Arabidopsis thaliana: one gene and its partners. The protein of the gene in region 4 binds, or shares a complex with, the protein of the main gene of each other region. Each region holds a gene or a part of one and is shown on either strand. Other genes may lie near its edges.

Region 1 (7,800 bases), 8.6 Mb from region 4:
ACAACGTCACATAGACTTTTGCAGCATAAGCTCAGATTGCAAATGTCTCTTGGAGATACAAAACGTGCTATAACAGCAATAACATCTTCTGGAAGAGACAGAAGCAAGCAAGTACCAAATGATTCTGACCCTAAATCGCCGTTCCTCATCTAACACAAATCAAATCGGTAACAAAATCACTAAAGATAAACACATAAATTTGATGATACTCAGAAATCAAACTTGGCTTTACAAAGTTTTACCTGATTCATACTTTGAAGATCAAAAAACGCAGCTTTGGGATTCGTCAAAAATATCAGTTTTGGTTTGAATCAGATCGCTTTTTACGTAAACAAGATTCAAACTTTTCAATTACCCATCAAAGAAGAACTCGATCCGAATCAGATTGTATAAGAAAAATGAGGAAATCGCTAACTAAGAAGACGATGCGAGAGAGAGACATTGGTCTTTCGTTGCAAGTTTAAAGTTGACTACACTGTTGAAGTCTTCCTAGTGCTTCTTTTCACTATTAGTAAGAACTTTAGGGACTAGTTTGAAATAATAGAATAATTTGCAAATGTCCTTTTCTCCAAAACACACTACACCACACCACAACGAGGCTGGAGATTTGTAGGATGGTTCTGAAATATTTGGGCCTTTAAATGGATACATATTGGCCCATTTAAGAAAAATATTAGCCCATAAGAAATGGTTTTGATTCCTTCAAAAGTTCATTAATTTTGAAAGCAAAGAATTGACATCGGTTTATATCGGTTGTGTAGAACAAGAGTTTTTTGATTTTTGTGTCTCGTAAAAACAGTCTCTAAACTACTTAAACCAAGTCAAATATTAGACGTAGAAATAAAGGTATTTTGTTAAACACGTTATTACGATGGTTTTCAAAGTGATGCTGATTGGTTTATATAGATGGGTTTCAATGACAAAAATCTAATGTTACAGTTTAGTTTTCTTTGTAATAAAAAATACTAGAAGAATAACGTACGCTACAATATAATACTGCTGACGTTACTTTTGACGATACTCGAGTGTTTTTGAGTCAGACACACTAAACGAAATTGGATAGACAATATGAGAATTCTAAGAGATGAGGAGAAATAAATTGTGTGTCTGACTGAGGAGTTTCTCGTGAAGCTCCATGAGAGTTGGTTGTGTATCTTTGGTCTTTAGTTTGATCAATCACCGATTTGTAATCTCTTAGAAGGTAAATATATATTCAACTTGATCTGTGATCAATCACTTTGCTAAACAGAGTTAATTGATCAAATGTGGTTTCATTAAATTATATTTTAGAAATATAAAAAAATCTATGAAAATGCATGTACTGTGTGTTTTTCAAACAAAATTGGCATCATAAATCGAGAAAGTGTAAAAAGTACATGCATTTTCCAAAACTTAATGCAAAAAAAAATACAATCTATCTTCTTTTTTTTTTTGTTTATTGTCAAGGATTACTTAATCCATAAATACAGAAACATAGAAAACATAATTGAATTTAAAACATTGAAGCAATAATCATCGAAAAAACATTGATGAAATGAGCTTTAGAGGACCTAGCTAACCGCAATAATCATCTAAAACACCAGTGATGGTTGAGCTTTAGAGGACACCTAGCTCTCTGAGAAACGCAACACATAGATCAAAGAAGATAAACTGAGGTCCATCAATTCTTAGGATGTCCAGCAAATATTTGCCTTCGCGTACTTTGTATAGCTATAACAACAACCAAAATGATACAAATTAGGTTTGCATTTAAGAAATTGCTCTAAATAGATTTTAACAATGTAAATTGTTGATAATTTTATATTCGCATCAAAACAAAAAAAATTGTTATTTATGGACTATTAAATTATAGTATAATATCTTAAATTGGATAAATATACCTGAATTTCAAATTTGATGACGGTCGGTAAGATGATGGCACATTCATCCTCAATTGTATGATTCTTATAGTAAGCAAAGCTTCGGACCCATCTACATTTTATATTGTAGAGTCCGATTTTTTTCCAGCATATTTTTAGATTTTGAAGAGCTTTAAAAATTTCAGTCATGATATCATAAGGACTCCCTTGAGACTGTCAAAATTCCAAACAATTATTTTGATATATATATTGATAAACTGTTTTGAATAGAAAGAAAATTAAGAAAACATGAGACGAAATTGAATGCTAAAGTAACATGAACAACAATGGATTAAACATTAACCATGCATGGACTAACCTGAAGTCCAAGGGTCCATGTTTTGTCATCTTTGACATTGGATTTTAGTCCATACAATGCCGAAAATGAATGGCCAACATGTGAAGTAATATTTTGAACTGGTAACGTCGAATTAAATATACCATCCTATATTTGTAGGATTAAAACGAAAATATAATTATATAGAGAAGTAATGTTTATTTATTTTTCTTAAATTCAGGTTGTAGAGAAAGAGAGTAAGTACCGAAATCTCTTTAAACTTGGATTGGAAAGGGTCATTGGGAACAGAATTTTGGTTTCGGTTGTCTAGGATTAGATGGTATGCAACTGTAGCCTAAAGTAACGAAATTTAACTTGAGTATCATTTATAAAACTATTTTGAGTATAATAGGATTATTATATGAAATATGAAAACACTCATACCTCGTTTTGGATTCTATTGGCAAGAGAATCAACAACATGGTTTCTATCAAACCCTATGTTAACCACGTTTTGAATTATCTCCTCCTCAATCTAGAAAGAGTAAAATTGATACAAAATTAACTGAATTCATAAAAATGATGTTATTTTGGTACAATTTAATGAAAACAAATTCTAACCTTTTTAGCTTGGTCTATGGTATCTAATGGAGGAATAGAAAGATAAAGAGGAAGATGATTATTGAACCAAGGATGTTGACGAATCTCAGTAATGCTAATTCTCATAGTAGGATCAACCATAAGCATTCTCGGTATCAAATCTCTAGCAAAATGTGATAAATGATTTGGAAGAGTATACATTCCTCTCTAAAGAAATAGAGAAAAAATTCATAACCATGTGTAATATATATGATTTTTATAAAAAGATCGTTGTTTATTAATACCTTTATTTTCTCGAATACATTAGGAATATTTTCGTCATCGAAAGGAAGAGTACCACACAACAGAGCATATAATATCACCCCACAACTCCATATATCTACATCTGGTCCATATGGTTTTCCTGAAATAACCTATATAAATAAGTTTCAGGTGTGAGTAATTGATACTTCAAATATATATCCAAATTCATGAAATAAAAATGAAGAATATGTTAATCTCTTATACCTCTGGAGCAGCATAATTAGGGCTTCCACAACTAGTCTTTAAAAAATGACCATCATGCATGACATTACTCAATCCAAAGTCAACAATCTTTATGTTGCATTGCGAATCCAAAAGCACATTCTCGGGCTTAAGATCTCTATGAACGATCATATTGCGATGACAATACTCTACACCAGATATGATCTGAGAATATATGGTTTAAATAAAAGTGTTGCCAATCGAAAAGGATATAAGGTTTTATGAAATACAAAATGTTTGGATAAATACTATATATATACCAAACCTGCTGAAAAAGATGACGAGCCTCGTCTTCCTGTAATTTACCTTTCTCTACAATATAGTCAAATAGTTCTCCAGACTTAACATATTCCATCACAACATAAATGTCATTTGGCGTCTCTATAACTTCATATTGACGGATGATATGAGGATGCATCAAAAATCTGAGAATTTTGATCTCCCTTTGTACTACAAGAGACTTAAACAATTTCATTTATTAAGATTACTAATAAATAACAACGATTATATAAGACATAAAGCGTAATATTTTTTTGCCACATAAAGTAGTCCAAAAAAAAAAACAAATCATAACAGTGACCTATATTAATGAACAGTCTTTCGGCTTCGAGACCTAAGATTCGGATAAAGTATTTTCGTAGAAAAAAACAGATTTTAAAATAAAAATATTTTTCTGATTTCTCAGTATTAAAATACAATCCATACCAAATAAACTTGTAATTATATTATCAAAACCAAAAATTATTGATCATGGTGGTTGCCGAAATCTCGTAGACCTATTAGATCTCGTGAAGAAAAATAAAGATACATCTATATATACATTTAGAGAGGTGTTATACCTCCTCTAATCTTTTGTACAAATGAAAAAAGAGTAACAAAATTGAAGTAAATAATACATACCTTTGATCTCAATACCCATGTTCTTAATCTTAGAGCGATTAAGAATTTTGATAGCAACTTTGTGACCAGTAGCTACATGCAGTGCTAATTTCACTTTCGCAAAGGATCCATGTCCAAGAGTCTTACCAATCCTATAATTTGGTAGAATCGATACTAATTTATTGGTAGTTTTTTCCGATGATCCATCCATTTTAATTACTATAGATAATAAAACCTGAAATATAAAAAAGAAATATATAATTAAACCTCTATAACAAAAATATATATCAAGGTAAAATATCAATAAAATGGACGGATTATGAGAAAAAAACTACCTATAAAATGAACAATAAAAAATAATTGATGGTGAATCTAACTAGAAAATCCACCAAAAGGTGATACGCCCCAAATCAAAATCATATTTTAGCAAAATTCATTTCGTTCACTATATGAATAGGTCCCCTAGTTGAAGGAAGAAATTTGTGGTTTGACTGATTGTCTAAACCGATAAAAATCAGTAAATTTTCATAAAATTCATAGATTTTGTTTCTAACAAAAACCTTCAAATTGAACAGAATTTTTTTTGGAAAAATGATTTAGACGTAGAAGACTCTTAACATAATCTTATAGAGTATGGTTGATGCAAGAAAAAAATGGAACCCATGATACAAATTATATGAGCATGCACACGAAAAATTGCACCACTAGAAAATTGAGGAAAAGTACAAGAAAAGAGTCTATGGGCACATATATTATCATCTTTCCTTTGTTTTTACTCTCCTTTGCTGAGGTAAATCTGAGTCACACTGTTGACTAATGGTATCACACTTTTTTCATGAATCATATTAAACAATAAATTAATTTACACACAACCATGTTAAGAAGTAGATCAGTTTCTGTTTTAACTTAATAGTAATTACCTAATTATGACAAAAATATAAAATATATTAGTAAAATGGTTAGATTTTAATATTTTATACAGTTTTTAGAATCTAATTATTCAACATTTTGAAGACAGAAATATCTTTCCTGATATACAAGTTGCCATTAATGTGAGTGGGTACTTTGACTAACCATACAATGAATATTTCTTTCTTATTTTAATTTAGAATATACATATATAAAGAAAATTTCCAACGGAGAATGTTTTGTAAGAAATTAGAAAAAATCAATGAGTTTTTATTGGTGAGATATTTAAATAGTAATAATAATCTTTAATTTGAAGTAGATTTACTAGTTAATACTTTTAAATATTGTGATTTAGATTTTTGTGATGAGAGATAAATTTTTAATACGTACTGAAAAAAGTGTAACACCCTTTTTACATTTCCATAAAAATTAGATTATACATTTAAAAAGATTTTTTTGTATTATAAATATTTTTTTATAAGTTATTATATAACTAAAACTAAAATTACTATTCAAAACCGCGATGAAATGTTCAAAATAGTGTATTTTTGTGGGAAACGAGAAAAGCCTAAGACTATATCTTCTTTGCATGCCCTTTCACATACACTAAAATATGGCTAGATCTTGTTGAAAGAGTCATTAGAACTGCCACAGACCCATAGATTAGCTGATTTTTTTTTTTTCAATTTATGTTCAGTTCAGTTCTATTATCACTATGAACCATTTTATCGGGTTTGCCAAAAAAAATTCATGTATGTAAAAAATTCGTCAAGATTTGTCTAACTTTTTATTTTTAAAGTAAAAGATAAAAAATCAATGATAATCGTTAGGAAATAGACAACACCATGGAGATGGTAAACAAGTAAACAAATAAACATTACTTTATTTGGTATATGATTGAAACAATTTATTTGGATTATTTATTAAGTCTGTTTTTTTTTCTTTTAAACTAAATTAGTTTTTTTTACCAAAAAAAGACAAATATAACTTCAAAGTGGAGGTGTATGCTAGAAAATAAATGGACAACAGAAAAAGACTAAAACAATACATTAAATTTGAACAAATCTGTATATGTAATCAAAAAAAATATCAGTGTGCCTCGTGTCCTCCTGAATCGCTAAGAAAAGGATTATTGCCACAAGAAAAGGATTATTGCCATAAAATTTTCAACAGAAGAGACCTGAATAATGTGTTGCAGTTATCAACAATCAGGTTCTCAACTAACACTTATCAATTAAAGTCTAAACAAAACCAAACATTCTATGTATATACATATAAATTTACACACACAAAGAGATATATGTATTCAATTAAAGATTTAGGAGGGTTTGGTGGAATTTAGAAAAACAATTGATTTGGAGAGATTTCGGTGAATTTTTAGGATATACTAGATTTTGACCCGCGGTATACCGCGGGGCTAGGTTTTTAATAAAATATGTTATATAGAATGTATATGTAGATATTTGTTTTATTAATATTGTTTACTTTGTTTAGTGTTTAAGATAATGTATATATAAAATTTAATTGTTTATATCTACGATTTCACCCGTAGTATATCGTTTCGTATTACTATCGATCCAAACCTGTCATACCATTTAATCATGCACAGTGAAATTAAACATATCTAATGGATTTCACTTGTGATATACCGTCTCGTAATACCATCGACCAAACCCGTCCTACCACTAACCTTGTTCAGTAAAACTAGACATTATTTTGTTATTTTTGTTTTAATAATACTTTAATTTAAAAAATATTTAATTCAAATCAATTTAAAAGTTTTCTTTCAAATGGTTATTTAATTGTTGTAAAGTTTATATATTATAATATTATAAACATGTCCTACCATCTAGTCCTACTATCTAATCATGTTCGGTGAAATTATTTTTTTATTTTTTTATTTTTTTTAATAATATTTTTATTAAAAGATTTATAATTTAAATCAATTTAAAGTTTTCTTTCAAATGATTATTTAATTTTTAAATATTTTAACCATTTTGGCAAAAATAATTAGGCCGTGGAATAAAAGCATATTCCTTTGAATAAGATTTGCTTTGATTTGGTAGTTAACTTTTTGCATTGAATAAGCTAGTGACAGCCATTGTAAATAAGTTCCAACTCCAGAATTCATTTAACAAAATGGCTGCAAAAATGTATATGTAGATGGTGGAGTTGTTGGCGCAGCCTAACCGTAACAAGTCCTAAGTTCGTTGATTCACATAGTGACCGAACAAAGAACAAAATTTGTAGCTCGTTGATTTACAGAATAGCTGAGAAACAAAAGAGATAGATGCTTTAAAAGCTCTGAATAATTCAATAAAAAAGCTGCCGTCTATTCACGTAGGAGAGAGGTTTAAATAGTTGATTACAAAAGATCAAACCCTAAAGCATAATGGAAAAGAAAATCAAAAACCTAAAGCCCACGTAATAACTAAACCGAGAAAATAAAGAAAGCCCATAAAAACAGAGTATGAAAGCTTGAATAAAAACAGATAATGAGAAAGATAGAAGATGCGCTGCATCAGTTGTAATATTTTTTTTACCTTTTGTTGTGAAAATTGTTTGTGATTTAATGAGATTTGAAGGAAGAACTTCGGATGATATAAAAAGATTTTAGAATAAAAAATGAACTCAAGAAAAGAAGAACAGCGAAACGATGAACAAAGAAAGCCTTCTATTGCTGCACCAATGTAATCTCATTATGTCCCATAAG
Region 2 (8,339 bases), on a different chromosome or scaffold from region 4:
CAGTACTTTAACACACAGCCTTACGCTTGCGATCCATCGACATTACCTAAGTATCCTCCTAATAAAGAAATGGATGCTAAGTACCGCGAAGAACTTCAACGAAGGTATCAATGATTGCTAGCATGCGCATTGTATAAATATCATTGGTTGTATTTAATTAATTAAACTTTGTTATGCAGGAGAAGAGTTAGTATCAAGAAAAGAGATAACTTGGCAACAAAGAAATTGGGTAAATCTCGTAGGGCAACAGTCAAAGAGCCTACAAATCTCAACAGATTACCAACCCACCAGGTATTATGGTGTTTCATGTACCGGAATAAACCGATGAGTCTATTTCCCGGTTCGATATTTGTAATTTTTGTTCATTATTTCAGCAGGAAACAAAGAAGGAAGCCGAAACAGAAATTGTTGTCCAGACGCCGTCAGAGACGTCTCAGGCGACGACACGAAGCGAGTTTCCGTATAACAGTTTGTCTCAAACCACGGCACCAGCGAGCGGGTTCGCGTGGGCAGGGACAAAGAAGAGGAAAGAAAATGACGTAGCTTCAACGCTGACTTATATCCAGCCAGGATCTGCGAGCCACGTGAGTGGTATGAGCATGGCTTTTGCTAAGAACACTTTCGGGTTAACGATAAACGAAGACAAACCGTTTCTTAGGCCGCACGTTTCTCTGGACCCCTCTGATGTGTTGTTGTTCTCTGGCGTGAATCACAAGAAAACAGAAGAAGATATGGTAAGTCAAATTGAACCCGGTACCATCTAAACCGGCAGTTGGAATTCAATTTTAATTTTTGATAAAATCATGCAGGATTTGACGAATCTTGGGGCGAATCCGAAGATTTTTCAAACAAATGGGATGAATGAAATATTACGGAGGACTGAAAGTGATGTTAGAGTTGGTGTTCGAAGACCACCACGAATAGAGAGAGGTTAAAATTTGGGGAAAAAGCGAATTAAATTACCAGAATTTTTAGCCAAAGATATATATACATTTTTTACCTACCATCATGATTTGTAGTCCATATTTGTTTAATTTTTCATTTAAAAAAAAAAGCCCAAGTCAGTGTGAAATTATTCAATTTCAGGTTTACCAAAAGATAATTGTGTCTTTTTTTATTATTATTACAAATTTCCTTGTATTTTTGTGAGAGTTTATCTCACACTTGATGTGTTTTTTTTTTTTTTGCAGGAGAAGATTAACTGGTAGGTAAAACCACACGTTGGAAACTTTTGAAATTCTTTTTGGGCTTGTTTTTGAGTTTGTATAGTTTTTGGATCTTAGTTCGAAATAAACACATCAAGCTCATCCTAAATGTTCGTTTTTCAATGTCTTAATATTAGTAGGATGACAAAAACAAAAAACAACTATTTTTGAATTTGCTAATTTGTTTACACAAAAAATATAGTGTAATATTGACCCATCAAATAATACACGAAACAAAAACAACTACTTCTGAATTTGCTAATTTGTTTTCAATGAAACTAATTTAAACATCTTTCCTTCAATTTTTGTCAAAATGTCTTTCCCTTAACTTATTGATTTTAATCATAAGAAATATGGAGTAAACAAAAACAAAAATCAATCTTGGTGGCATGATGCACTACAAGTTATGTACAAAGTGTCTTTTTTTTACTCTTGCTCAGTCTTACATTTAAGTTAAAAGAGGTATTTGAGTAGAGCACGCATATAGAAATAGAAAGAAAGAGAAGAAGAAAAAAAGGGTTACGTTTTCTAAATAATTTCTTAGACGAATAAGAAAAAAAAAAAAAAAGGAATAAGTGGGGATTATTCTTGAAGAGGTCCGGTTTAGTATTCAGAGGACTCGGAGCTGAGCAAGAAAAGCAGCACACAGATCCAAGAACAAGAACTGAGGACCTTGTACTCTCTGCAAATCCAGTAGATACTTGTCGTCCCGAGTTTTATACAACTGTTTCACCATCAACAATAACAAACGTCATCAAGCCCAGAAAATATTGATTGATAGTTAGATTCATGAAGATTCACTCTAGTTCTAATTCAGTTACAAAAATGGCCATGGACACTAATACACAAAGCTTTCTTTCACTCGAAATCACACATCAGAAACAATGTCGTACGGGAAACCGATATGTATCATGAAGTGGAGAAGAGGATTTACCTGAATTTCAAACTTGACAACATTGGGCGACTTAACAGCTGCTTCGTTCTCTATTATGCTGGACTCGTCTCCAAAGTAGTTGTTATCGTGCATCGAGTTACTGAGCATACCATCTGCGCTGCTGTTAGGAACCCATCTGCACTTCATGTTGTAGTGCCCTATCTTCTTCCAACATACATTCAAATCTTGCAGGGCTTTCAGGACTTCCGTCATTATTTCACGGGGATGAGCCCGAGACTGTGCGATCAAATTGTTACAATATTAATCACATATATATCAAAAGCTGAAGTCTTTATACCATAAATACAGAAAATATCAAAACCTGAAGTCCAAGAGCCCATTTTCTCTCAACAGGGTATTGAGATCTCAAGCCAACTCCTTGATATTCCATCAGTCCTGGAAGCCGATGGCTAACAGGTGAAGCAACGCTTTCTGCTGGATGCATACGGGGAGTACCTTCCTGATTAAATCAAACAATGAAGCATTACGTCAAAGATCTTTTGCTAAAGTCGAAAAGGACAAAAAAGACTAACCATGGTCTCTTGAAACTCAGCCCCGAGATAACCACTAGAGGCACGGAAACGATTGTCCAGTATCAGATAGTACGTCACAGTGCCCTGGAAGACAGTCGGTAAGAATACAGTATTTAAGATCTTTTGATGGAATTTTTTTTAATCTTTGAAATGAAAGAAACAGCAAAAGAACAAGTGGGTGGGAAACACATACATCATTCTGGGTTCGGTTGCGGAGCGATTCGATGAGGTGGTTTCTGTCAAATCCCATATTGATAACTTCTTGGAGAATCTCCTCGTCAATCTACAAATGAAGACAGCGCTTTTACGCCTTTATCGAAAAATGGGAATAGAGATTTCTCTAATGAAAATAAGAGTAGATACGTTAGGCTTACCTTTTTTGCCTGTTGCACAGTATCTGGAGGAGGAACAGCTAAATACCTCGGAAGATGAGCTTGGAACCAAGGGTGTTGCCGGATCTCAGGGATGGTTACTCGTTTCATGGGGTCAACTACAAGCATCCGGGGGATCAAATCTCTAGCACCAGGAGATAAATGGCTAGGTAATGTGTATATCCCTCCCTATAGGACGAAAAGAGAAAAAAAAAAGGTTACAGTCGAAGGGTGATACGAAAAATAAAATAAAAAATTCAAGCATTAGTTCAAATAGACGAAAGAGGAGGAGTAATAGAATGTACCTTTATCTTCTTAAAAAGGTTGGGAATGTTTTCATCATCAAATGGAAGCGTCCCACAGAGAAGAGCGTAGAGTATCACACCACAGCTCCAGACATCTACTTCAGGGCCAGCATATAACTTGCCCGAAATTACCTGAAACAATTTATAGATCTCGACTATAACCTATCATTTGAAACAAGCCTAATTATAGTATTCCTCAGATACCTGAGGGCTGAAGCACTTACCTCTGGAGCGGCATAATTTGGACTTCCACAACTTGTCTTCAAAAAATGACCATCTCGCATTATGTTGCTCAGGCCAAAATCAGCAATCTTTACATTGCATTTAGAGTCCAAAAGCAAGTTTTCAGGCTTGAGGTCTCTGTGAACCACCATGTTTCGATGGCAGTATTCCACTCCTGATATTATCTACATCAAAGCCAAGTAGCTAATTCTTAACTCTCAAATATAATATAAAATCGAATGGTTGCTTGGAAAGTTACATGTTGATAAAATAAAATAAAAACATACCTGCTGAAAAAAGTTCCTCGCCTCATCCTCCTGCAATCTACCCTTCTCAACAATATAGTCAAATAGCTCACCAGAGTTCACATACTCCATGACAAGATAAATATCTGTGGGAGTCTCTATAACCTCATAGAGACGGATGATGTGAGGATGCATAAATAGTCTCAAGATTTTGATCTCTCTCCTCACTGCATCAAAGACCAAATAAGTTCAAAGGAAGGAAGACGAAAAAGAAGCTATATATTTATATATTCCAAGAGTACCGTGAAGTCACAACTAAGGTGGAATGGATACACAAAACAAAACTTGTACCTTTCTCCTCCATCTCCATGTTCTTGATTTTGCGACGATTGAGGATCTTGATAGCAACCTTATGTCCTGTCAATGCATGCTCAGCTATCTTCACCCTACCAAAGGAACCAATACCAAGAGTTCTCCCAAGCTTGTAATTTGGTAGAATCGATTCTACCCCACTTCTACTGCCTGTGCCTGATCCATCCATTCTCTACAAAAAAAGAGAGAGAGATATTAGATCTACTAGTACACAACACACAAAACAAACTGCAAAAGAGTAATAGGAACAAAAAGCAAGTAATTTTTACACTTTTGAAGATTCTGTGATCGATCGTTGAAGAAACTAAATTAAACTCATCTACTCGTTTGAACATGAGAATTTAGCGAGAATTAGGATCCCTTTTATTATCCAGAATAAACCAACCAACACTAAGAAGAGAGCTTAAAATAGCAATTTTCAGACTATCCCCAATTCGGAATATGAACCCTAATAATAATTCAATCGCAGAGGATTACTGGATCTCTCGTACCCGATTCAGAAATGACGATTTCAAGATCAATCCATTGATTTGCAAAAGGGCGAGAATTTTTTTTATTTCCGAAATAAGAAAATTGAGAGATATCGAAACTTACCAAAAATTAAAAAAGGCGGAGGAGAAAATTCGGAACCAAAAAATGCAGCAAAAAAAAGTCCCAAAATTTTCTGAGCTGAAAAAGTAAAATTGAGGAAGATCCAGAGATCAGCTTAAACCCAGAAATTATTGATAGATTCTTCCTCTCGCTTTCATTGCTCTCGCTCCTGTAGCCTATAAGGCGCAAGCAAGTATCAAAGACGAAATTATTTGATTTTTGGTTCCATAAACGGATCAATCTTTAACTAAATTACCCCCAGAGTTACGACTAATTACAATATATACCCCCATGCGGACGTGGCATCTAGTCATCATCTTTTTGCTAAATATTCTCTGTGGTAAAATTATTAACCACCGTTTTGTTTTGGCATCTTTCAAAAAGTTTGTACCGTCTTAAACCGGTTTAGAGAGATACATTGACATAAACTTTTTTTCTTTTTTACACAAGCCAAGTGTAAGCAAATGTACAAGACAAAAACCGCTTGATTCTCGGTTAAGACCCAATGTACAAGACAACCGGTTTAGTGTGTTCTTTCATGGATTGCACCAGGTATAGTAAACCAACAGCTTCAACATAAGCAAACTTCAATAGCTCAAGTAAAAAGGTGATCTCAAGGTGAGATATCTCTCGAGTCCTGTGATGCCGAAAGTGCAGGATCTCGGTAAGCAACAACGAGTTCCGAATAGAATTCAGACATGTTTTGCTCTCTCTCGTCTGCTTTATCTTTGTTTACCAGACACTGCAAAAGTAAAACATCCATCATCACCATATAAAGGTTTAGAGTAGATGCTGTAATGTAATAAAGGACTATGCATCATGTTCTGTTTGTTTTGTTTAGGTTAGGAATAAAAGATTATCTAGCCATATTTTTCTTCCATTGGATCAAAAATATGAGTAACTATTTCTCTAAAGCCTTTACCTGGGTAGGATAAGATTTGAAATTTGGTAAAAACCGTCTTTGGCAGTAAATGCTGAAAAGGACCGTGAGAACCGGAAGGGGAATTGTTAAAGAAGATGCCACTGGAAGCTCTTTAAGCCCGAATAATCCGACTGCAATAATGTGCATTAGTACCAAAGAGAAGATAGTATAGCTGTGAACTATTGGCCAAAACTTTCCACCAGTTTCATACTTGGCCGCATATACGTTTAGGAGCTGCAGCACAAAAAGGTGATGTTATTTCTATCAACAAGTTGCAATGGATTCATTAAGAAGAAAAAGAATTATGTGACGAGAAAATGGATTCTTGATGTAACGTTTATGTCATGACTGAAGCTCCAAAAAATACTTTCGGTTTAAAGATGCTATTCGAGAATTTAGAAAAGGGATCACATATAAAGAGAAGATAAAAGTGAGATTCCATATAACGAAAATATGTGTAGCTGATTCCTATATGATTTTATCAGAGATCAACAGAGAATTATACTTAGGAGTGAGATTGGTTCCGTTACCTGGTTGCGGTAGATGATATATCCAAGACAATAGTAGACCAACAAGAAAGGCAGTATCAATGGCGAAAGGAAGAAGTAAGTTATACCGAGGAGTCCAAAAAATAGAATCCTTGGGATTTCTTGGCAGAAAGGAGTTGAAGGAACCTCAAATTCTTTGTCATCTTCCTTGCCGAAAAGTTTCGTTATGAAACTCCAAAGAAGAGGAACCAAACGGAGGATCTCTGATGATAAACCAGTCCATCCAGAGGTCACAACATAAGATACAAAGAACGATGCCTACACCAAAGATTAAACAATAAACATGACTCGTGGTACGAAAAGGGAATTCCGGAAACCTCAATACTGAATTTTGTGTTCTTTACCTGTGCTGGCACAGCTGCAGCAAGCACACGAGGAATAGTCTTAGGTTCAAGGAACACATTAACACGATAAAGGGCAGATCCGGACAGTACATTTGCAAAGAAACTGTTCCATACAGTAAAGATTAGAAGCTTGATACATGCAGATTTCTCAATCTGGCTATGAGAAATGAATCCTTGCATTGAGGAAAGTAGAAGCATAATGGGTGGTACTATAAGAAGGAAAAGCTGGAAAATGAGACTCGGAAGATATCCCGTAATCACTTGACTCACGATTTTCCTGCAATCATAAGAAAAAAAAGAAGATTTTGTAATTGTTCAATTGAAACGAAGAACCATCTTTATCTAAATAGGGCTTTACTTACATATTTAATATTCCTTTTAGAAAAGGGAACCAAGTCTCCAACTGGTGAAGATTAGCAAGACCTTGAACCAATACAACGGGGACAATGTATAGGATCAAAAGAGCTACGAAAGCCACAAGCACCACTACATTGGAGATCCATCTTCTCACAAACGATGCAGTGAAAAATGGCCAATGAACATCTTCGGGCTCCGGGGCTGCCTCAGTTAGCCATTGTGTTGGATCTATTCCTTGCTGAATGTTTGTTGCTATTGCAGCACCATGTCTTGTCCTAAAGGAAACAAAAGCAGCTGGAACTTCCTAAAAGGGTTTGCCAAAAAAAAAGGAATGAATATGTTGAAGAATGCAAGTAGTCACAAAAAGACAAATTCTCACCTCTCCTGCTAATAAAGACTGTTTCAATCTCATGTCATCTTCTAACTTATCAAGCTTCTTTTGGTAATGGTCAACCACATCAACATTATTCCCAAACATCCCTAGAAACCCACCCCACCTAGACTTTTGGCGAGATATGCTTCCGGATTTTACTCGTGTAAGCTTCTTGTACAGCTTCTCAGCATCATTCTGCAAATATTAACAGATATATGAAATCCAGAAATATCAAAAGGTAAGGCCTTATAGAATCCTTAGTAGGTAGAAGCTTACCATGAGAACTTTCAACTTGTCTGTCCGATGAACAACTATATGAGAAAGATACGAGGAAGAATGATATTCCCTGAAAAAGTTTTCTACTGTCTCACTAATACTGTTCCCGGATACAAGAGGGACGCCACTGACCAGAACTGTAAATTCTTGTGGCTGAGGCTTGGATGAATAAAGATGAGCAATCCGCTTTGTTAAAATGTACTTGTGCTCCTGCAAAGATAGTCCAAACATTATTTTATGTTCCCATATAGGCGATATAAAGTAGAATGGATGGACAAAACAAAAGGCGTCTTACATAGTAAAGTAGAGAACAAACAACCGCCGTGAAGATGTATATTGCGCAAAAGTGGATCCACAGCCTGAAGCAAAACACATACAAGCATAAGAGATCGGTTACGGACAAGTAGAAATCGGGATACTGTTTAAGCATAGCTTCGAGTTCTTTACTTATTTGATCCATCGTTAACATTAGAGATACTGAAGTTATCCATAGACTTCTTTGGGAGGTCGAAAAACTCTTCAAACTCTGTTCCCATATAATTCACTGGAAGAAGTATGAAGATCCCAACCACAGATGCAAAGCTAAACACTCTTATGCTGCCAAACAAAAAAGCATTGAAGTTTCACAAAAAAAAAGTCAAACTTGAAGCAGATGCTCAATGAATCAATCAACCTGAAGACAAAGACACGAATGAAGACCAAAGCATCTAAGCCAAGATTGGAGAGGATTTCATCATTGGT
Region 3 (8,490 bases), on a different chromosome or scaffold from region 4:
GGTCCATAAAACTTCTAATCCTATATTTTAAAGCCCAATTTGACCATAATAGGGCTACATGACTTTTCCGGGCTTTTTATTTCGAATAAACAAACTTATAATTTATAATATCTCTGAAAAAGAAAGAACATATGTATGACATGAGTCAATCAAAATTTAAATAACCACTAAAACTAAGTTAATTTAAAATAAAAGTTTTGTTGAACCAAAAAAAAAGGAAAGAAAAAGTTTAAAAACAAAGAAATAATCCAATAAATTGTTTAAACTTATACTAAATAAAAATATAAAATCAGAATACTTCAAAGATGTAAGGCACAATTAGAAAACTAGATTTAGGTTTTTCAATTCAAATTTTTTTGTAAAACAATTTTCATATTAACAAAAATATTTAACAAAACAAATATCAAAATATTTATGTAGGACTTTTTGTCCGATCCGATCCTAGCCGGACTAAGCTCCAAAAACATTTAGTCTAAAAGAGCAAATTTTTCAAGACATATATATATTTAACCCGAATTCGCTGTTTTTAGAGTAAGGCCAGGCCAGCATACGAGCATTATCTCTAGTTGACATGCCTAACTATTAGGCTCAACTTTCCACATACATTTATAAAACACTAGTGTTCTAAAATACGGCTTATACGGTGTATCTATACTGTACAGTTGGAAGCAGTACTGTATTATGGTTATACAGTTGTTAAATACAATGAAAGCTATATACGAGTATATACAATGAATTCTGTGTAAAAGGTGTATTAAAAAAAATGCTCAAAAACAAAAACTATGGTATTTTATTGGCAGGAAATTTATTTGGAATATTTTAGGCAAAAAACAATTTCCAAATAAGGGTAAAATAGTCATTAAAAATTTACTGAAAGTAGAAATGAAAATGTCAAATATGAAAGGGTATAACTGAAAAAGGTAGTGTGAAAAGGGCATTCTCAGCAATTATTCTACATTTGAACTATCTATTTTATCTTAATAAACTGTTTTAATTCTATAGACTACATCCATCTTATTGATGATATTTAAATTTTAAATAATAATTCATATACTTTTCAGTATTTAATTTAGTATTTCCTTAAACCAAATTTCAATCTTACATATTCAATTTTGCAATACAATTTAAATATCTATTTTATTATATAAAAATACAATTTAATTCGATTCCATACAATTCATATACAATTTGATTTTGCAATACAAATACAATTTTATTCTATACACTCCATCTTATTGTGTTAGTTTTCCTTCTTAGTTAAGAAAATTTTAAGTTAAATTTTTCGATATAGAAATATAAATTGGTATATGTATTTGTTTTTGTTAAATTTCCTATTTCTTTTAGAAAAAATATTTAAAAAATCTCGATTTTGCAATACAATTTAAATATCTATTTTATTATATAAAAATACAATTTAATTCGATTCCATACAATTCATATACAATTTGATTTTGCAATACAAATATAATTTTATTCTATACACTCCATCTTATTGTGTTAGTTTTCCTTCTTAGTTAAGAAAATTTTAAGTTAAATTTTTTAGATATAGAAATATAAATTGGTGTATGTATTTTTATTGGTTAAATTTCCTATTTCTTTTAGAAAAAATATTTAAAAAATCTCGATTATGCAATACAATTTAAATATCTATTTTATTATAATACAAATACAATTAAATTTGATTGTATACATTTCAAATACAATTCGATTTTGCAATACAAATACAATTTAATTCTATACACTCCATCTTATTGTTAGTTTCCCTTCTTAGTTAAGTAAACTATAACTTATTTTTTTTAGATATAGACATATAAATTAGTATATGTAAATATTTGTTTTTGTTAAATTGCCTATTTCTTTTAGGAAAAAAGTAAAAAAAAATCCGACACAATATCAACATATGAACGATTGACTTGTTACGTGTCACGATCAGTTGAGTTATTAACTTTAAAAACTCTACTTTATATAATAAAATGCGTCTGAAACTTCTTAATTTATCCGCTTTATCATTAGCACGCTTTTATATATAGAAAACTAGATTTTAACCCGCGGTATACCGCGGAGACAATTTATTTTTTAAAGTTACTATATATAAAAATTTGCAAATTATATTTATCTATAAAATATTTTTATTTTATAGTTTACGATTGTTATTAAGTAACGTCCTGTCAAACCCGTCCCGCCAATCCGTCCCGTAAAAAAAATTCACTGATTTTATTTATGATATGTTTATGAATCATTGTCTAAATATTTTTTAATTTTGTAGTAATTAAATGCTATCTAATATCTCTGCGGTTTGATGATTATAATCGAATTATTATAGTCATGTAGAAAAACAATATCAAAAATGATAATTTTGTAGTAATTAAATGATATTAAATATTTCGGAAGTTTTATTTTAGTAACTAATCGTGTAGTTAATGTGGAAAGATTTTGGGAAGATTGTCAAATATTTAATTTAAAGATTTTCTTTCTAATTATCAAAAACAATTATTAAATGCGAGTGGCAGCCACTGTAAATAAACTCCAACTCTAGGATTTATTTCACAAAGTGGCTGCAAAAATGTATATATAGATCATAAAAACAGTAATATAAAAATTTTAAACCTTAAAAAACTAGTTTTTCAAACAAAAACAGAAAATGGGCAAAAAGGCCCTAATTTAAGGGCTTGCAAATGGCAATAAATGTTTATCTGGGTTTTGTGGTTTCTTGATTCGTCATTACCAATTTTCACCATGAAGACTTAAAAAAACCTGACTCAGCTCTGCGTCACCTACGAGTTGGAAATCTGACTTCCCCAAGAATTTCTTCAGATTACATCGTAATTTACAATTCTGCCCTATTTATACCCATCAATCTGATTCTCCTTGTTTCTGTATATTTCTTCGCTCTTTGTTTGAACAATTTATCTGGGTTTTTGATTCTCGGATCTACTCCAAGACGGTTTTCGAAATTAACAAGCTTTTCAGGTAAATTGACTTTTTTTTCTTTGTAAAGGTTTATCAATTTTGTCTTCTAAACTCAAACTTGTGAGTCTCTTGTTTGGTTTCAGACCAAAACCACCATTACAAAGTAGTTATGTCGGTGGTTCTTGTCAGTTTTCTTACAAGCTTATGGTTGGTTTAGATTAGATTTGATGAAATGAAAATTGAGTTGAAGAATGTTTTTTTTTATTTGAGCAAGTTAATATGTTTACTGATGTTTTTCTATAGAGAAGTTGCTAAGAGAGCTTACTTATGAGTTTGATGTTGAATTGGGACACAGGAAATGGATCATTCATCAAATAGATTTGGCAATAATGGAGTGGAATCGATTTTACCGAATTACAAGCTTGGTAAAACTCTTGGAATTGGGTCTTTTGGGAAGGTGAAAATAGCAGAGCATGTTGTCACAGGGCATAAGGTTGCTATCAAAATCCTTAATCGTCGTAAGATCAAGAACATGGAGATGGAAGAGAAAGGTATATACAAGCACCGTTACTTTTAGCTTTAGTGGTTTCTAGAACAAAAGCTTTGATAATCAAATGTTTCTGCTTATTAGGTTTTAGTATGTATTTTTATCTTAATGTATGTATATTTCTTCTTTACAGTGAGGAGGGAGATTAAGATTCTACGGTTGTTTATGCATCCTCATATTATTCGGCAGTATGAGGTAATAGAGACCACGAGTGACATTTATGTTGTGATGGAGTATGTCAAGTCTGGAGAGCTCTTTGATTATATTGTTGAGAAAGGCAGATTACAAGAAGATGAGGCTCGTAACTTTTTCCAGCAGGTTTGTTTTCTCTTTACCATAACCAGTGTGTTTGTAGCGTATCATGTCATCTTTGAGTTTGAGTGTTGTTTGTGTTTGACTCATATCCGAATAGATAATATCTGGTGTAGAGTACTGCCATCGTAATATGGTTGTCCATAGAGACCTGAAGCCTGAGAATTTACTATTGGATTCGAGGTGTAATATTAAGATTGCAGACTTTGGGTTGAGTAATGTTATGCGGGATGGTCATTTTCTAAAGACGAGTTGTGGAAGCCCCAACTACGCTGCTCCCGAGGTATATAGTTTAGTAAAGTTACTGAATTGTTTTTCACCTATGTGACTATGTCTCGTTTCTCTTATGAGTGTCTTATCTCTTACTTCTTGTTGTAGGTTATATCAGGTAAATTATATGCTGGACCTGAAGTAGATGTATGGAGTTGCGGAGTTATATTGTACGCTCTATTATGCGGTACTCTTCCTTTTGATGATGAAAACATTCCCAACCTTTTCAAGAAAATTAAGGTACTGTACGTTATACTTTGATTCAGCTAAAAGACTCTTCTTAAATGGATTCATATGTATGTGAAGTAACTTATCAAGGTGTTTTTTTTCTCTTTAGGGTGGGATTTACACTCTTCCAAGTCATTTATCATCTGAGGCTAGAGACCTGATCCCAAGGATGCTTATAGTTGACCCGGTGAAACGAATCACCATTCCTGAGATCCGTCAACACCGTTGGTTCCAGACTCATCTCCCTCGTTATCTTGCTGTCTCTCCACCGGATACAGTAGAGCAGGCTAAAAAGGTTGGTTTCAGTGCCATTTGGAGATTAATAGAGTTCACTTGCTGTGATAGTAACAATATCTCTTATGTTTTGCAGATCAATGAGGAGATAGTTCAAGAAGTGGTTAACATGGGATTTGATAGAAACCAGGTTTTGGAATCTCTACGCAACAGAACACAAAACGATGTATGTAGTTTCCTGTCTCTAATGCTTTTAATCCCCGAAACTAGTTTCCAATAGTCACTGAAATGCCATTTGCTCCTTGTACCAGGCTACTGTTACATACTACCTGTTATTGGATAACCGGTTCCGTGTTCCAAGTGGCTATCTAGAATCCGAGTTTCAGGAGACAACAGTATGTGTTTTTCTTTCCTCTCAGTAGATAGCTTTCCAACATTTTTGACTAACATGTTCACCTTTTCAACGTTACTCATCTAGGACAGTGGTTCCAATCCTATGCGCACACCTGAAGCGGGCGCTTCACCTGTAGGCCACTGGATTCCTGCACATGTGGATCACTACGGGTTGGGAGCAAGATCACAAGTCCCTGTTGATCGAAAATGGGCTCTTGGACTTCAGGTTTGTTCCTGATTACTGATTCTTTTTGTTCCTCACCATAAAGTCTTCTGAATGCAACACACAATCAGATATCTGTACTCTTTGCCTCTACATAGCCAAATCGATAATCATTCTGTTACCTTGTTGTTTTGAACAGTCTCATGCGCATCCTCGTGAAATCATGAATGAAGTTTTGAAAGCTCTTCAAGAACTCAATGTGTGTTGGAAGAAGATTGGTCACTACAACATGAAATGTCGATGGGTTCCTGGTTTAGCTGATGGTCAGAATACTATGGTCAACAATCAGCTGCACTTCAGAGATGAATCCAGCATCATTGAGGATGACTGTGCCATGACTTCACCCACTGTCATCAAATTTGAACTTCAGGTAACTATAAACTCACACATACATTTGTATCAACAACATTCCTTGGAGAAAATAAACAACTGCCTAGTTCGGTTTGTTAGGGATATGAATCGATCAACGGGGTTTACATTCGTAGAATTGTGCTGGAGCAAAGACTAAGATCCTGATGTTGTTTTATCCCACTAGTAGTAGTTCAACAAAACTAAACCAGCTAGGACATAGACTAAAACCTTCTTTAGAACTTGAACCAACTGTTTTCGAAGAACAATTATACACTTTCTGAGTTCACTTTTGATTTTGAAACAGCTATACAAAGCCCGGGAAGAGAAGTACTTGCTGGATATACAGAGAGTTAACGGTCCGCAGTTTCTCTTCTTGGATCTATGCGCCGCCTTTCTTACAGAGCTTCGTGTGATCTGAATGTTTTAACCATTTGTTGAGACATTTTTTTTCTTTCATGTTCAATGGTTTGTAATAGTAGAGAACATAATATAATATGTGGGTGCAGTGTTTACTTTGCCGGGTTACTTTTATATACCTGGATTCTAAGTTAAACTCTACTGTAATAGTAACTATCCTTTCTTCTTTTTGATGGTTTTTAAGGTTTGATCATGTGTACATAACTTAGCTGTTTCATTCTAACTATTGTATTTCTCCTCTGATGCCAATTTTATACAACGTTTATATCAGACACATTATACATGTCATACCTAAAAACATTGCACGCAGAGTCCATCAAAATTCCATTTCACAAAATTCGGCTACCCAACTTAAGTCCTTAGCATCAATACAAGATGTGGAACACGATATTAATACAGAACATTGGAGAGCTACTTTGTGTGGACAATGCTTCTTGCAAAAGGAGTAAATAGGTCGCCGTCGGACAATAATATATCGGGCTTCAAGGATAAGTCCACCCCAAACATACATTGAATGTGTAGGGTAACACTACAGTACTCATCACACATAAAACCGCTCCTTCGGATTTATTTTGCTGATTTTTCATCATCAGTCGGTTCGGACCGCAAACTTCACACCAATACATCGTTGTACTTATCTCATCCCCATAAGAAAGAGTGAACATATGTTTATCATGCTTATACATTACCTTATGAGGTAATGTAGCACATTTGAAACACAAAGAAAAGTAGTCACACTCAATGCAATTGAATGTTTCCTTTCTGGAATAATGTCCTAGCTCTTTGCAAACTGAAAAATGTCTTCGCTTCTCTCCCGGTTTGGTTGTTAGGAATAAAGGATGCAAATGACTTGGATGGACTAGTGGCTCAGAAATCTTGGCGCATTGCATGTGTAGCAGAAAACAACATCATTCTTTACTACATTCATAGAAGAAACCAGCTTTACACAACCAAGGACAAGCAAAACATGTATCCTTATGATAGTCCATAACACCGTCATAAATTTCTGCCACCTTCGCAGAAAAAGTGTGTATAGCCTTCTTCTCCTGGTTGCCTAAATTTCTGCCAATTTAAGGAAAAACACTTCCACTTGTTATTCGTGGGCCGCAAGACTTCTCCAATCACATGGATTATTCCTTCTTTAAAAGTTACTTGTGCTTGAGGGCAAACTGAAATAAGTTTCTTCAACTTTGAATTTTTGAGATGACGAGGGAGAATATATTGGGCCTATGGGCTTAGTCGGTTTTGATATTTAGAATAGGTTAACTTTATGCTCAAGTTGTAACCTATATATAAACCAAGCAATGTAACCTAAAACCCTAAGAGATTCAGTTTATACAAACAAGAGTTTCTTGACATGGTATCAGAGCAAAACCTAAACTACTCAAGGGTTTGTTCGATTCTATGATCTAAACTTCCGCTAAAACAACTCTGTTTCTTATTTTCTGTTTTTTAAAACTATCTCACAAAGGAGAAAATCATGGCCACGAATTCTGCTACGTCGTCGGCTCTGATAACCTCCACCACCAATCGCCGTACAATATCTCCATACGATTTAACTTCCGGTGAGAACCCCGGAACCGTGATCTCCAAGCCTTTGTTGCGTGGTCCAAACTACGACGAATGGGCCAACAACATATGCTTGGCTTTGAAAGCTAGAAAGAAGTTCGGTTTTGTCGACGGTTCTATACCTCAACCACCAGACGACGATCCCGACTTTGAAGACTGGATTGCTAACAACGCGCTTCTTGTCTCTTGGATCAAACTCACGATTGAAGAAAAGCTCTCTTCGTCCCTATCTCACATCAATGACTCTCATGAACTCTGGACTCATATTCAAAAGAGATTTGGAGTGAAAAACGGCCAGAGAGTTCAAAGATTGAAAACTGAATTGGCAAATTGCAGACAAAGAGGTCTTGCTATCGAAGCATATTACGGCAAACTAACTCAGCTGTGGGGGAGTCTTGCCGATTACCAAAACGCAAAAACAATGGAGGAGGTTCGAAAAGAGCGAGAAGAGGACAAATTGCATCAGTTTTTAATGGGTCTAGATGATACCATCTACGGAGCCGTTAAATCAAATTTGCTTTCACGTGTTCCTTTACCAAGCCTAGAAGACGCTTACAACGCTTTAACTCTGGACGAGGAATCCAAAAATCTAAGTCGCACTCATGAAGAAAGATCAGATGGCGTCAGTTTTGCTGTTCAAACCAATTCTTCTAGGAATTTTTCTGACAACAGAGGAAGCTCTGTTTCATGTACCATCTGTGGACGCACCGATCACATTGCCGACAACTGCTTCAAGAAAATAGGCTATCTAGATTGGTGGGAGCACAATCCGAAGTCAAATTCCAGAAATAAAAATGGAAACAATTCAAATAAGGGAAATTCAACTTCGGGTGGTGTTGGCCGTGGAACAACAACCTCTTCGGTGGGCTCAATGACGGGCAAAAGCTTCGGGACTGGTCAAGTTAATCATGAAACCACTTCAAACCAGAATCAGTTGCAAAGTTTTGGTGTCAACACAGCCTTATCTGCGTCAACGTCCTCTCTCACATCCGCAGATCGCGTCGGGATAATTGGTTTGAGTAACGACGAATGGGAC
Region 4 (7,598 bases):
TTACCAGGAAAGCCTGGACCTGGACCAACCAGGAACCCAGGAGCTGGACCCATAAATGGAGGTCTCCCGAAATTTCTTGGTCCAGCACCTTGTGGCATGTTTCTGGGGTCAAAACCCCTCTGATGCGGCCAAGGCTTTCCAGGATCCCCTTGAGGAGCTGGCAACACAGGTGGAAGAGGGGAAGCTTGAACTTGCTTCTCATTGCCAGACTCAGTAACAGGAGGCACAGGAACCGGGTAGGGAGGATAAGGTGCATATGGAAAATCTGGACCAGCAGCATGTGGCAGAGGCACCATAGGTGGAAAAGGAGGTGGATGATACGGTACAGCATGCACGAGATAAGGAGGAGGAGGAGGACCATTCTGGTTGCTCCTCGGACCTGGTTTTGAATGACGGCCAGATGGATTCTTGTGTCCAGGATTAGCCTTTCCACCACCCTTAGATTTCGCTTGACCAGTTACGGCCTAAACAACAAAACAAAAGAGCTTTTATGAGCAAAGCTAAGGCTACAAATTCAATGCTAAACAAAAGACTTTCCAATCACACTATAAACCTTTCAAGCCAAGTAAAAGAAAATCACGACAAATAAATAAACGTCATAATCATCATGCATCAAATTCGATCAAAGATTCAATATCACCAACTTAAACCAATCACGAACACAACTGATATCCAGTATCAGATAACTCTCAGCTCTACCAAGTACCACGCACCATTACAATCGGAAAATTAATACTCAATTAAAGCATAATCAAACAACATTGACAAATCAACGGAAAGAAGTCGGTTGTTTGACTAACCGGAGTAGGGATTGGGATAGACGTCGGAATGTTTTTAGACGGCGGAGCAGGTGCAGGCGCCGGAGGATTCTTAGGACGCGGTTGTTGGGCAGCGTCGGCGAGTGCAGGCCACGAATGAGCTCCCATTACAGGAGCGTCAATAGTCTCAACAGGAGAAGTCGTTGTTTTCCACGGAGACTTAGTCCCAATACCACCTTCACGGGTGATCAATTCTCGATCATCGGCCACTGATCCTTCAGTCTCCGCCATCATTAGAAACTTGGAAAGATAAACAGAATCAAAACAAGGAAGCGATTCAATTGGATCAAAAACAGAACGAGGATTGAAGGATCAGATGGAGAAGACGCAATGTGAGGAAGAGAGGTTGAAGAAGGAGGCAAGTGTGTGTGTGTGTTTTGGTGGCGACACTCTTTAAGGGAGGAATAAGCGAGGATGAAACAAACAGTGAAACGTATAACCCCAAAAACCCTAGTTACTTTCCTCTTTTTTTATATGTATATGTTTATTTTATATAGCAATTTCCTATTTTTCCTATTTGAAATTTGACAAAAAATAAGAATAATATTCATGATTTGTTTAATTACTAGTATTACAAATATCCTCTAATCTGGTCTTTATCCTTCGTAATTAAAAACATTCAATTTATTTCTTTTTAATTTTTGTTTTGAGAAAACATCATTTATGTAGGGTTTTAAAAAAATTTAAATTAACTTTATAAACTTATTTTCGTTAGACCTATTTATAACGCGTTTATTTATTAACCTTAGTTTATGTCCTTAAATAGATGTGTTAGAATTTGTGTAGCAATTCTAAGTTATTTTGTACTTTTAATGTGATCTAACAAACTTTTGTTACAACTAAGGATTAGTAGTTGGTAAAAGAGAACGAAGATAACTAGTTATCGCTCTTATAATCTCTTTATTGTTTTATTGTTTAATTCGTTTAAGTTATTTAATTATAATATTTAGTCTTTTAAAAATACGTGAAAAATTATCTGAATTGTTAATATACATATAATAATTTTTATATATATGATGGATATTAACGATGATTTCTGAGGTGAAAACTATTATCTTAATTTTTTTTTTGGGTGAGGCTATTATCTTAATTCTTCAATATGTGAACCTACGAAGAATAAAGTAATTGATGAAGATTTGAATGAATTTTTGTCTCTGAAAATGACATTTGAAGGTGTCTGTGGAAGATTTAGTGTCCACTAGATAAGATTTCTAAACAAAAGGTCAATATATTGATGAAAATTGAAGTGATTGAAATCAAGTTTTTCCAATGATAGTACACTCGTTTGAAGAAAATATGAGGTTGAATCAAAACCTTAGTTCAAAGTAAATGATAAAGCAAAAGCTGAAATCTTACAATTTGAAAGTGACCAATATACAATGCGAGAAAGCAAAAGAAAAAACAATGACTCAACCTATAAGGAAAGTGCATGACAATCACTCATGGCTTAGTGAATAGTGACCATCGCCTTTTACAAGTTTACATTGGCTTTGAAACCCTCCAAACTTTTCGAAACAATCTTTCGACCAATAACTAGTTTACGGGACTAACCAATACAAATCTTGGAAAATGATGATTCTTTGACCATCTCTATTCTAACCCCACCTATTGGAGTTTAAGGCCTTTTCATCGTCACGATACGCATACTATGATCACTGGCTCTAGCAAGATGTTAAGGCACACAAATCGGTGGCAAGGAGGTGACTGGCCCTTGTGTCATTATCCTTCTCAAAGGCATTGAACCAACTTTTTATTCACATTTGTTTATTATATACTAAAAGAAATAAACAAAAAAAAAGTGGATAATTATAAACTTTTGGACGCCAAGTCACTCGTTTATCCATTTGGTACGGATTTTAATGATATCTCTCTCTCAAGAGCCCCTTTTATGCAAAATCTCTTTTTCGCTACCAATGGCATTATTCGTAATTAACTTCTAACTTGAGGGGCGTTTCATTATCTCCTCCTCGTCGTCCTCCCTCCATTTTTCTTCACGTCTGGTTTTCTCTCTCTTTTCCTCTATCTCTCTCCTCTCTTTGTCTCTCTCGCTTCTGTGATTTGGGCTTTTTCAGATGGGAAATGCGAACGGCAAAGACGAAGACGCCGCCGCCGGTAGCGGTGGTGCAGATGTTACCTCGTCCTCGGCGAGATCTAATGGCGGCGATCCTTCTGCACGCAGTCGTCACCGTCGTCCTTCTTCAGACTCTATGAGCAGTTCTCCTCCCGGAAGTCCTGCTCGATCTCCATCTCCTTTCTTATTCGCTCCTCAGGTTCCCTCTCTCGAATATCTCTCTCTGTTTAATCGTTGAATTTGATTTCTGGTTTTGAATTGAATCGATTGAAACATTCGCCCAAAGAGATAATAGTAAGAGAATCTTTTTGATTTGTTTCGTTGAGTAAGAGAATGTTCGTTCACTTGACTTTTCATTTGTTTCACTAATTGTGAGACACTTTCTTCATTTAGATAGGATCCAAGTACAAAATCTCCAGCCTTTTTTTTATGAGTGAACTCTACTTGTTCACTTGATTTGTGTTATCCTGTTGGTTCTTGAGAATTTGTAATGTAGATTCTTGTTCTTAAAGCTTTTTTCTGAGTTGGGTTTAGAGATTCTGTACTAGAGAATCTCTTTTATTTTTGTGTTATCTTGGTTCAGGTATCTTGAAATAATGCATAATGTGGAAAAGTTTCTACCTTTCTTTAAGATGTTGTTTTGGTTTCCTAGCTATTTTTTCTTTATTTTCCAGCCGGTCTCTAGTCATTTACTGGTCGCTCATGATTCTTGATGTCCCTTAGTGAGTCTTTGTGTAATTTATCTTTGTTTCATTGTGAAGAGGGCAACTTTGCAGACTAAGTACGTTTGTGAATGAAATCTTTTGTATAAAGGAATTAGACTTGACTTGGTTTTGTTTGGTTCTTGAGAAGTCAAAAACTCTGGTAAATGACAAGGTAGCTAGTTACTCTTCCTTAGTTTTGGTGGAGAGAGAGAGAGAGGCTTAGATCACCTTATTGCTATGTCTTTTCCTTTTGGTGAGTTAAAATCTTGTTAATCATACTAGAGAATCTGCTTTAGAGAAGGTCTTATTTGTCTTCTGATTATGCCTCCATGCCTGGTGTGGAAAAGCGTATGGCAGTCAAATAGGATGATTATTGTCTCTCTAGGTTTTTATGCTGATTTTGACTTTCCTGCTGCTCTCTGGTCATTTACCAGTTACTGATACTGTTCTGTTGATTTGCATGTCGCATTGTGAGTCTTTTGTGTAATGTCTTTTGCTTTCATTTTTAAGAGGAGGGAGGGCAAGCTTGTTCTTTTCTTCGCCCTTTTTGAATTTAAACACGCAGAGCTTTTACTTGAACGAATTACAGATTTTGGATGTTTCGTCATTCTTCTCATTGTTCTTAATATGTGAATAATTCATAAGATAAGTGAAGGACAACCTTCTAAAATTGACCTTGTTATCAGGTTTTTGTGGGAATAGTGAAATATCTTTTGCTAATAAGGTCTTGTCTGTACTCTGTATGCGAGTAAATTTCTGAGTCTACTGTTGCTATATTCATTTTCGACTCCTTTTCTTTTCAGCCCACATTGTTATTCCACGTTACATCTTACAACATTTGCTCACCTATGCGTCACCTCTTCCATTGTTTAGGCTTAACATGTGTACCTAATGGCTGCATTTCGTGTCGGATGGTAGATATAATGTTTTGACATTCGCAAATTCTTCTTGCACATTGGTTTGTAAGATCTCACGGCTCAGTGTTTATGTGGATATTCTCAGGTTCCCGTGGCTCCATTGCAGAGAGCAAACGCCCCTCCTCCTAATAACATCCAATGGAACCAATCACAGAGAGTTTTTGATAATCCCCCAGAGCAAGGAATCCCTACCATCATTACATGGAACCAAGGAGGTAATGATGTGGCGGTGGAAGGATCATGGGACAATTGGAGATCAAGGTATAATTGACTTTGTTTCTCGTGGACCCTCTCTCGAGATTTCGTGATATATGTTAAAAACAATATGTTTACATTCACCAGGAAGAAGCTGCAGAAATCAGGGAAAGACCACTCGATTCTCTTTGTCCTTCCATCTGGCATATACCACTACAAGGTGATTGTGGACGGTGAATCCAAATACATCCCAGATTTACCCTTTGTAGCAGACGAAGTTGGCAATGTCTGTAACATTCTCGATGTTCATGTAAGTTACTTTCCCACCTCTTTTTTTCTCATGTTAAATCTATCAATCAGCTTAACAGTATCTGCAATCATTATGCATGCAGAACTTTGTGCCAGAAAACCCAGAAAGCATAGTGGAGTTTGAGGCGCCACCATCACCTGATCATAGCTACGGTCAAACCCTACCAGCCGCAGAAGATTACGCGAAAGAGCCACTGGCGGTGCCACCTCAGCTTCATCTAACACTTCTTGGCACTACTGAAGAGACAGCCATAGCCACAAAGCCTCAACATGTGGTGCTTAACCATGTGTTCATAGAGCAAGGATGGACTCCTCAATCCATAGTAGCTTTGGGTTTAACCCACAGGTTCGAGTCTAAGTACATAACTGTTGTCCTCTACAAACCGCTCACACGGTAACCCTAAAAATTCAGTGCCACATTGTTCTCTCTCTTTCTTTCTTTTTCATCTCTCAATTATGTGAAAACATGTTCTTTGTTCATAGTGACTAGTGAGTGCCCAACATTTGAGTTTATTAACCTCTTTCTTACCTGGTTTGTGGTGCTTGTGTACAAAGCTTCTCTCATTGTAACGATTGTTGTTTTATTTTCTGCAAAAACTGTAAAATACATTCGCTAATAATGGCTATAACAAGCTTATCTGCTAGCAACCAAACACATAAATCCTGTTTTTTTTCTTCTTCTGACAAAACGTTTGCGAAAGTGACAAATTTTTGAAAATAATCTTTCTTTTTGGTATTGGAAAAGGCTAACCAGTTTGAAAGTGTACTCATAATAAATCCACGTCGTCTATTTGATTGAAAATTTTAATTTGGATAAGAAAAAGATAAAAGAGAAATAAGGTGAGAAAAAGTGAGCCACACGATGGAGTATGGCGGAAGAAGCATCGACCGAGTAATTGAGACGCTCTGTTTCCAATTACTACTCTCTCGAGCTCCTCCGCTCTGCATTGTCGCCGAGAGTTCCTTTCTTGTCCGACAAACTACTTCTTCTCCTTCGATAAGCCAATTCTGCGCCATAGATTTTTGAAATCTACTGCCGGAAAGGCTGCATGCGATTTCAACTCCCTTTTCCCGGGACAATTCGCAGGTGTGTATTCCTGAAGCTCCGTTGTACTATACTACTATTCCATGTTTCACTTCGAACGAAGAATCAATCATTCGGTAAATTGGATAATTTGGTCACTTGTTCATGACCTGTACATAATCAAATGTGTAGGAGGACGATGATGAATTTGTAGCATGAACTATCGACGTCATGATTCTAGAAATTTATGTTGGAATTAAAGGGCCCAATGAGAAACATACCCAACAATTTATGCTGTTGCTGAAAAGCTTTGCCATCGCATTGTGGATTTCAGCTGTTTTTGCCTTGTCTTTATCACATTTGACGCCATAGTACTATTTGTGTGTATTCTCGTATTTTACAGTTTCTTTGTCCCTTTTGCATTAGTTTCTGTGAATTGAGAAAAGAAACACTCTGTTGCCTGCACTGTTGGGTTCTTTGGAGATAGAATTCTAACATTGACATTACATTTTCATGAAACAGCTTGTGAAGAAGATCAAGAGGTGAACTCTGAGTGATGAGTGAGCCAAAGGTCAGGCGTTGGGTTGGCAAATATGAGGTTGGAAGATTGATCGGTGAATGTAATTTTGGGAAACTGCGGAGTGCTGTTGACACAGAGACAGGAGACCCTGTGGCTTTGATGATCCTTGATAAAGACAAGGTTCTGAAGCATAAGATGGCTGAACAAGTAATTCGCTTTCCTAATCGGCATTTAGTTTTTTCATGCCTCCTTTCTTGTCCATTGATATGCCCATGTTACATTTCTTGAAGTAAAACGTGGTTTCTAAAAGCGAGATTCACAGATAGATCCGTCTTCTGTCCAGAAGTATGATGTGGGTCTTTCCCGTTTGCTTTTACAGATAAAGAGAGAAATTTCTATTATGAAGCTGATCAACCATCCAAATGTAGTGCAGCTTTATGAGGTCTAATTCCATGCCCCAATTTTTTTTCTACGTGTCTCTATTTTCCTTTGATTAACTAGAAATTAACAGCTCCCTGGAGTCTAAGCAAATATGTTGAAAACTAACATTTAATGAAATGATTGATATCATTCCAGGTTTTGGCGAGCAAGGCGAAGATATATATTGTCCTAGAGTTCATCAGTGGTGGAAAGCTTTTTGACAAGATTGTGAGTTTTCCCTTTACCTCCCAAGGGCTTTAACTTGTATCTAATGCATCCTTTGGTATTTGAATCATGAACCAAATGCCCCATGCTCAGCTAAGAAGTTCCTGTATCTTACAGATTAGATAATATATTATTTTGACTTTTATCCAATCCATTAAATTTAAACTTGTGAAGAAAAATGATGGGCGCATGAATGAAGACGAAGCACAGAGATATTTCCAGCAGCTTATCAATGCAGTTGATTACTGCCACAGCAGGGGAGTGTACCACAGAGACTTAAAGGTACAAGGAACATTTTTGGTAACTCTTAGGCCAAGTTTGCAGTGTAGGTTCTTTTAAGTGCAGCTAGTTAGTGCCTAAATTTTTTTCTTCTTTATTTTCTCAATGCAGCCAGA

What was found.
Region 1: AKINBETA1 (region 4) and SnRK1.3 share a complex: the UniProt entries of both Arabidopsis thaliana proteins name them as parts of the probable heterotrimeric complex.
Region 2: AKINBETA1 (region 4) and KIN10 share a complex: the UniProt entries of both Arabidopsis thaliana proteins name them as parts of the probable heterotrimeric complex.
Region 3: AKINBETA1 (region 4) and KIN11 share a complex: the UniProt entries of both Arabidopsis thaliana proteins name them as parts of the probable heterotrimeric complex.

What each region holds. Positions count from the first base shown.
Region 1 is NC_003076.8:15,778,496-15,786,295, reverse strand, and holds SnRK1.3 (SNF1-related protein kinase 1.3), read right to left. Parts: upstream 4,390-7,800; coding exon 4,200-4,389; intron 3,750-4,199; coding exon 3,565-3,749; intron 3,465-3,564; coding exon 3,282-3,464; intron 3,188-3,281; coding exon 3,059-3,187; intron 2,982-3,058; coding exon 2,796-2,981; intron 2,710-2,795; coding exon 2,620-2,709; intron 2,531-2,619; coding exon 2,441-2,530; intron 2,344-2,440; coding exon 2,218-2,343; intron 2,073-2,217; coding exon 1,881-2,072; intron 1,711-1,880; coding exon 1,597-1,710; downstream 1-1,596. Other genes in the region: AT5G39450 (F-box family protein), read right to left, coding at 1-149, 243-251. UniProt on the Arabidopsis thaliana protein: Catalytic subunit of the probable trimeric SNF1-related protein kinase (SnRK) complex, a central regulator of cellular energy homeostasis, which, in response to seemingly unrelated darkness, sugar and stress conditions, activates energy-producing pathways and inhibits energy-consuming processes.
Region 2 is NC_003074.8:29,622-37,960, forward strand, and holds KIN10 (SNF1 kinase homolog 10), read right to left. Parts: upstream 4,867-8,339; 5' UTR 4,523-4,866; coding exon 4,457-4,522; intron 4,360-4,456; coding exon 4,167-4,359; intron 4,043-4,166; coding exon 3,858-4,042; intron 3,756-3,857; coding exon 3,573-3,755; intron 3,481-3,572; coding exon 3,349-3,480; intron 3,233-3,348; coding exon 3,047-3,232; intron 2,956-3,046; coding exon 2,866-2,955; intron 2,757-2,865; coding exon 2,673-2,756; intron 2,600-2,672; coding exon 2,462-2,599; intron 2,377-2,461; coding exon 2,140-2,376; intron 1,930-2,139; coding exon 1,816-1,929; 3' UTR 1,560-1,815; downstream 1-1,559. Other genes in the region: AT3G01085 (Protein kinase superfamily protein), read left to right, coding at 4-104, 180-291, 378-734, 810-930, 1,191-1,201; HYP1 (hypothetical protein 1), read right to left, coding at 5,392-5,520, 5,701-5,934, 6,231-6,506, 6,593-6,869, 6,955-7,253, 7,329-7,517, 7,599-7,808, 7,894-7,957 and 2 more. UniProt on the Arabidopsis thaliana protein: Catalytic subunit of the probable trimeric SNF1-related protein kinase (SnRK) complex, a central regulator of cellular energy homeostasis, which, in response to seemingly unrelated darkness, sugar and stress conditions, activates energy-producing pathways and inhibits energy-consuming processes.
Region 3 is NC_003074.8:11,126,289-11,134,778, reverse strand, and holds KIN11 (SNF1 kinase homolog 11), read left to right. Parts: upstream 1-2,673; 5' UTR 2,674-2,822; exon of another isoform or gene 2,823-2,970; intron 2,971-3,265; 5' UTR 3,266-3,268; coding exon 3,269-3,461; intron 3,462-3,590; coding exon 3,591-3,775; intron 3,776-3,869; coding exon 3,870-4,052; intron 4,053-4,147; coding exon 4,148-4,279; intron 4,280-4,376; coding exon 4,377-4,562; intron 4,563-4,637; coding exon 4,638-4,727; intron 4,728-4,812; coding exon 4,813-4,896; intron 4,897-4,979; coding exon 4,980-5,120; intron 5,121-5,256; coding exon 5,257-5,487; intron 5,488-5,772; coding exon 5,773-5,886; 3' UTR 5,887-6,159; downstream 6,160-8,490. UniProt on the Arabidopsis thaliana protein: Catalytic subunit of the probable trimeric SNF1-related protein kinase (SnRK) complex, a central regulator of cellular energy homeostasis, which, in response to seemingly unrelated darkness, sugar and stress conditions, activates energy-producing pathways and inhibits energy-consuming processes.
Region 4 is NC_003076.8:7,202,828-7,210,425, forward strand, and holds AKINBETA1 (5'-AMP-activated protein kinase beta-2 subunit protein), read left to right. Parts: upstream 1-2,839; 5' UTR 2,840-2,890; coding exon 2,891-3,088; intron 3,089-4,338; exon of another isoform or gene 4,339-4,396; coding exon 4,397-4,507; intron 4,508-4,595; coding exon 4,596-4,771; intron 4,772-4,852; coding exon 4,853-5,015; intron 5,016-5,097; coding exon 5,098-5,412; 3' UTR 5,413-5,669; downstream 5,670-7,598. Other genes in the region: LARP1a (LA RNA-binding protein), read right to left, coding at 5-464, 801-1,052; AT5G21222 (protein kinase family protein), read left to right, coding at 6,595-6,765, 6,938-7,000, 7,135-7,206, 7,378-7,485, 7,594-7,598. UniProt on the Arabidopsis thaliana protein: Regulatory subunit of the probable trimeric SNF1-related protein kinase (SnRK) complex, which may play a role in a signal transduction cascade regulating gene expression and carbohydrate metabolism in higher plants.